2 linked regions of the Tribolium castaneum genome follow. The protein of the gene in region 1 interacts with the protein of each later gene in a biochemical or structural test. Links are inferred from orthologs where the notes say so. Each region holds a gene or a part of one and is shown on either strand. Other genes may lie near its edges.

The links.
Region 2: the proteins of Nak (region 1) and numb form a complex in vitro, tested with the Drosophila melanogaster proteins (3 studies listed by BioGRID). The link is inferred for Tribolium castaneum from reciprocal best matches to the Drosophila melanogaster genes Nak and numb.

What each region holds. Positions count from the first base shown.
Region 1 is NC_087394.1:25,678,793-25,682,921, forward strand, and holds the start of Nak (serine/threonine-protein kinase sel-5), read left to right. Parts: upstream 1-1,329; 5' UTR 1,330-1,555; coding exon 1,556-1,682; intron 1,683-1,735; coding exon 1,736-1,854; intron 1,855-1,912; coding exon 1,913-2,158; intron 2,159-2,212; coding exon 2,213-2,416; intron 2,417-2,468; coding exon 2,469-2,601; intron 2,602-4,129. Other genes in the region: ecto-NOX disulfide-thiol exchanger 2, read right to left, coding at 642-980, 1,033-1,063.
Region 2 is NC_087395.1:16,786,076-16,788,946, forward strand, and holds the end of numb (protein numb), read right to left. Parts: intron 2,326-2,871; coding exon 1,213-2,325; 3' UTR 501-1,212; downstream 1-500.

The sequences.
Region 1 (4,129 bases):
CATCTATTTATAATTTCTGTTAGACGTTCTGTAGGAACTTTATTATGTTAACATTTATACCATATGGATCAAGTGAATTATTATTTTTAAATTCTTTTTTGGCATCTCTAAATGATTTAAAACATACATGCTGAAAGCTAGAGCTCCTATCTTCAACAGTTTAAGTAGAAATTAATTTCCAAATACTTAACTTCTGGGAAAATGGACCGAAATAGTCTCCTGAGCATCTTTAAATGTCCTTGGGACTTGAACTGTTGAAGATAGATATGGTCTCGCGGACATTTTTTAAAGAAAATTTAATTCTCTACAACTTTCTTAACAGTATTCGCAGCGTTTTGAAAAATGTGGGACAAAGCGCAATTTTACATTTGGAATAATTTGTTTCATATGTTTCTCATGAAGATTTTAGTCGGCAGTTTTTTGCAGCCTGTTAAGAGTGCAAAGCTTTGTATTTTTCCAAGTGATTAATGAATTGGTTGAATTTAAGTTAGTTTAAATCGATATTGGCGTCAAATAACGCTTGAAGCGCCCTCTTTTGTACTCTGGCGTACTATTTTTTTGGGCACAGAAAATCGTTCGTTTCCTAATCTATGGTCCTCTGTAGTTCAAAGTGTCTACAAATTGAATGAATAATTAATTACCCATCATGCCGCCCCACATGTTGGGCCCCAAACTGGACCCGTTTTGGATCGGGATAACATCCTGCGAGCTGGACATGTTCGAATCTGAATCATCGCGAGACTTATCGGTGTCCCTTCGATCCCTATCCCTTCGCTCAATGCGGCGTCTGTCCCTTTTGTCTGAAGGACTTAAACTTGAGTCGTCTTTGTCGTCCACTGAGCGTGCCACTGAAGTCTTATTCTTGTTCATGTTGAATTCCAAAGGAGAGTCGTTTAAACCGGGAGGAAAAATGGAAAAATCGCTGGCATCTGATGGAACGAACCCTGACTGACCTCCGGTGGGCACTATTGCCCCATTTCCTACAAAAAAGGACAAAAGGAATAACACAACGACAATTGCAACGGAATTTACCCAAAGGTTGGTTGTTGAATTGAAAACTCATGGTTACAGTGAGTTTCTAAGGAAAAATAGCAACAAAACAGTTCATTTTTTATCGACCTGCCAAACTTGCCGAGGATTGACGATTGAACTTCCCCGACTGTTCACAAGAACGAATTCGTTAAAAAAAATAGAAAACAATTAATTAGTAGAATTAGGGAGACACCAAAGAGCGTAGTTGGCAAAACTAATTCAGTTTTGGTCATTTTTGTGTTTGCTTATTGGAGTTTAGTATTTGATAAAATTTATTCGGTTGGGGGAACGTTCGGTTGGGGAGTCACATGTTAGTTGTCAATCTAACGTCAGACTTTCTTAAACGTCACTGACACTGTTATGCGGACAATTATTTTAATCAATTAATAAAAATAGTCGATTTGAAGCGGTAGCAAGTGTGAGGTGGGCTGTCGTAACGGTCTGGAGCCAGAAAATTGATGGGGAATCCGCATTCACTCACCAAACTCAATGTGTCATAATTTCCAATTAAGTGTCAATCACGATGAAAAAACTGTTTTCTAAAATCGAAACTAAAATAGATAACACTTCGAAGGAAGGTAACAGTTACATAGGAAAAGTGTTCACAGTCGGCCGCCAAACGGTAACCGTCGAGGATATTCTAGCCGAAGGTAGTAGCATGTTTCAATTCGGGGGGGCGTATAATCCCCATTGCTTGCTTTAGGTGGTTTTGCGATCGTGTATCTGGTAAAGGGCACCAATGGCACGCGCTACGCACTCAAACGAATGTACGTTAATAACGAGCAGGACCTTAACGTTGCCAAACGTGAAATTCAAATCGCTGTAAGTCACTTTAATTCATTCAAATTTTATTACTATTGAGGCACGTAACGGTTTTTAGAGCAGTTTAAGTGGCCATAAAAACATCATTGGTTATGTAGATTCCAGTTTGACGGCCACAGGAGGGGGCGTTTATGAAGTATTGTTGTTGATGCCTTATTGTCAGGAAAACGTTTTCGGTCTTATGAAACAACGTGGCAAAGCGAATTTTACGGAACATGAAGTTCTGACCATTTTCTGTGATACTTGCGAGGCCGTGTCACGATTGCATCACTGCAAAACTCCAATAATTCATCGTGATTTAAAGGTTTTTTGCACTTGATGGCAACACTCTAAATAACTCAGCTTTGGTTACTTGCAGGTAGAAAATATTTTGGTAGGTGAAAATGGTAACTACGTGATATGTGATTTTGGTTCGGCCACTGCGAAAGTATTAAACCCGGCTGATAAGGGGGTTGCTCCCGTTGAAGAAGAGATTAAACGGTACACAACACTGAGTTATAGGGCACCTGAGATGGTCGACATGTATTGTGGCAAACCAATCACGACGAAAGCTGATATTTGGGTAAAAAACACAACATTACAAAGTAATTTGTCTTTAATTTAATCAATTGCAGGCTCTTGGCTGTTTATTGTATAGATTATGCTTTTTTACGTTACCGTTTGGTGAAAGTACTTTAGCTATACAAAGTGGGAACTTTAGCATTCCAGATAATTCGAAATATTCGAAAGGTTTACATCAGCTAATGCGTAAGTTTATCAGTAGTAAATCTCCTCGAAGGACAGGGAACTTAATTAAGGGAACTTACTTAAATTTTGTCAGTCATTCCATTTTATCAGACGAGACACTACACATATTTTTAGATTTTATTTACTGTTTTTATGAACAGTATCAGTAGAAGTCAATTTAAACTGTTTGCAATCTACAATTAGAGCCACATTTGTAAAATTAGAAATAGGAGCAGAAATTAAAACAAATTGACGGACAGGACACAAAAAAGACTTTTTTATTGTTAAACAATCGTAAAATTTTGATAATTTAAAAGCACTAATTCTAACAATTATTTTTGAAGTAAGACTTTTTAAATTTTTAAAACCACGAAGTCGAAGAACAGAGCAATGTGTAACGACTTCTGATTAATTTACTTTTTGTTTACACATAACGGATGGGACAAAAAATCCACTATAATAAATCTTTTGGGTCATAAACATTCCTTCGTCTGCTCGGAAGCATGATGTTTTTTTTTTATAACATCAATTTTTTATTTTTTAATCGTGTAAATTATTAAATGTAAATAATTTACTCAAAATGTATTAATATTGTGTTACATAAATTAAATGAGTAATTATTTAATGTGTTAGCTTAAAAAGCTAAGCTAAGTAAAGTAAGGTTTTACTGTTCTAATTAAATAAAAATAATATATTTTTTTTAATATTTTGAACTCAACAACTAGTTATTTGTTTGTGTGTGTTACCCATTAAAACGGTCGATTTACTGGAGACGAACTAAACTTTCATTGAAACTGCACCAATTTGAATTTAGTTGTCATTTATTATGAATGGACTAATGTTAAATTAATCAGAAATTGAAATTTGATTGTAATTAAATATGTAAACGAATCATATGGGTTTTATTAGTTTTAGTTTGTCAATGTAAAATAAATTAAAGTAAATGAAGTGTGCAATCTCCCGACAGAACTTGTTTGAACGGAAACTAGGAAAAAAGAGTATTCTTAATTAAAAATTTAAATGAAAAGTTTTATCCAAACTCTTTGTGATAAAGAATGACAAAGAAAACTCCAATGATGGCGTTCACAATTAATTACGTTAGTGCTAATGCGTTTACAAAAAAAGACACCTTAGGAAGTTATAACAGTTTTAACGACGTTTATTCTTTTTATTCATTTATTTTGTTATAGTCACTTAATGATCAATTCACTTTTACAAATCATTACCTTCTTACTTTAAAATTAGCGCAGAATATTTTTTATAATGTAAGTATTAAATAATTAAAATTTTATTTTACCTTAAAAAAATGAAACATCAAATTATTCTTTACTCTCTTTACGCGATATAGTCATTTTTGATTAATTGAGGAGGTTTACAATTGCAATCAAATTTTTATTTCACTAATTTGACTTTTGTCAATGCAAAGTAAAAGATAACTTACTTTGATTTAATTTAACGACGTTTACGACCTAAAAGATTTATTGCTGTGGTTTGCACTCAGCCTCGTACTACCCGGGCCGGTTTATAGGGGTCACATTCTTTATGATCG
Region 2 (2,871 bases), on another chromosome or scaffold:
AAAACCAGTACAGCTAGCGCCATCTCATCGTCGCTCGCAACATCGACATAAAAATAAACCTTCAACGCCGCAAATATAACACTTTTACCGAAAAGCAAAAGAAAACAAAGCATTTTACTACGAGAAATATCTTTATTAAGAACTCTTTTAAATACAATTGTAATAATAAATGGGTAGAGAACTTTAAGCCGACAAGCACGACACCTTTGATCGTTTCCTACAATGATTTATTGCCTTAAGGAAGTCGTTCTAAAAGTGATTTACAGAGTTCCACCTTTGAATCGAATAAATCTGTAGTTTTCCGCCATAACTAACCAAATTTTTCCAATTAAATAATTGCCTGAAACCCCCATTAATAACATCAAACAAGAAAATAAATCTTTCTCGGAAAATTAACTCCAACTTATCTGCAAAGTTAATCCAATATTTACAACCTCTCATAATTTCAACATCGCTTTATTCTTCTTTAGTGTTCGTCGAGATAATAAAAAAGACACGCGTAACAGATAATACTTATTTATTACTATATTACAGAAAAAAACATAATTAAGACTTTTGTATAATACAAGTGTATATAATAAGTACATGTGCCATAATATTAGAGCTGCGTGCTCTCATATTGAAAAAGTAATAAATACAAACAGTAAATAGCATCGCTATAACATTTACAAAAACATAAAGTAAAAAGTCGTTATCACCTATAATTCTAATAATACAGTTTTATCATTATTAATTCGATCCTATTCCCGATGCTGCACGTTATTATAGTTATATTACACTAGAAAATTAAATAAAAATCAACAATAAGTCAATTCTTGCGCTTAGTAACAAAAGTCCAACTGGATTAATTGAACGGTCAAATTATAGGTGGACGGCAATCTAGCTCCAAACTCACCAATCGTTAATTAATAGTGATAATGGAATGTATTGTACCTACATTTCTCAGCCTTGTAATGATATAACTCGTCTAACTGCAACTATGGAAAGACTATCTTAAGTACAGACAATTTTGTGCATTTAGCTTGGCAGGTGAGTTATTACAATTCGAAATGTTTCTAACGTCCCTAATGAAATAAATAAAAACTGAGCATAAACTTCGTTCCCCGGGTCTTTACACATCCTCTCAACATTATTTACAAGATTGCACAGTCAGTCCTGGCAACATTAAACAACAAATACCTCAACAACTTATTGGAATGAATCACAAGTTAACTAGAGCTGGATCTGAAACGGCTGCGGGGCGGCTGAGGACAGGAAAGGGTTAGTCGGGTTGTTTTTAGCCGCGATGTCGGCCCACTCTGCGTCGAACGGGTCCGCCGTCCGCTGGAACGCCCCCGAGGAGTCCAGCGACATGGCCCGCGAGTGCGCCCCCAGGAGGGGGCCCCGCCGGGGCGACACCCCGTCCATCTTCGCCGGCACGGGCGACGTGGAGTTGACGATCTGCCCCAGCCACTGGTCCGGCTTCGGCAAGCTGCTGGCGTTCGAAGTAATACTGGTCGTGACCTGGCTCTGGCTCAAGTTGGGGCTGAAGCTGTTGTTGATCGTTGTGACGCTCAGATTGACCGTGTTCTGGTTGATCGAGGTCTGGTTGTTGAAGTTGAAGTCGTCGGAGCCGCTGTGCGTCAGCTGGCTCAGCCCCTGGCTCAGCTGCTGGCAGAGAGCGGTGACGGAGTCGCCGGGCGAGATCTCCGGGATGGGGGACACCTGGGGCTTGGGGTTCGTCGGCGACGTGGGCGACTTGTAGGCGTTCAGCCGCGCCGTGTTGCTCGGGAGCTCGTTGACGCGCAGCGACATCTGGCGCTTGAAGGGCGAGTTCTGGCCCAGGGTGCTGAAGCCGCGGCAGCTGCCCTGCCGCTGCAGCATGCTGGGCGTGGCGTGGGGGCGCTCGATGGCGAAGGGGTTGACGGGCGCGGGCCGCGGGGGGCCCACGTCCACGCCGCGCTCCAGCCGCTCGGTGAGCCCCTGCTGCCGGAAGGAGCCGCTGCGCGTGAACGTGGCGTTCTTGGTGTCGAACATCATGGTCACGCCGCACTCCTTGTCCCGCTTCTGCTTGCGCTCCAGGCACACGGCGAAGGCGCAGCCCACGGCGTGCGAGAGCCGCTCGCCAGACTCGCGCAGGGCCAGGAAGCCGTGGCACATCCAGCGCCGGGTGGTGCCGTCGCGGCAGATGTAGCTGAAGCCGCGCTCGTGGTTGCGGTCGGGGGCGCAGAAGGAGACTTTCTCGATCGTTTGGTCGACGATCAGACCTTTCGACTCGTCCTCGACCACGCGGAGACCGTCGCCGCTCACGTGGAGGACGGCGCGGACTGGGCGACGGCGGGAACCCTGAAACAAAACAAAAATCACTTGAGTTTGCTATTTATTTTATTAATTGTTAATTACTGATTACAATTTATTTTTTACCTCAGACTTTCCAGTAAAACATAAAAATCAAGAAAAAATTTTTCAAATTCTATTCAAAATATAGAATTACAAAAGATAGTCGGCAAATATAGAAATATCAATAACTAAAATTAACAAGATCAAATAAATCAGAGAAATTAAGACGACATTGTGAAACACAAGAAATAATGATCTCAAAAATGCTCTAGGCTTGAAACAAAGTGTTAAAAAAATGAGGAAATAATTTTCGATTATAAAACTACCTAAGGGTTCAAATATAACTTTTGATTAAAACAAAATTTTAGCAAAACTATTTACACCACTTTTCTATGTTCTGTTCCTCTACCGCTATGAATAAATGCCATAAAAATAAACTTTTTCAAATCAATACTAAGTATGATGAAACCTAAATCCATCATATCACTCCAGAATTTAAAAAAAAATCCACTCCAATCCAAAACAGTGACTACGTCCTATTTTTCCCAAGCC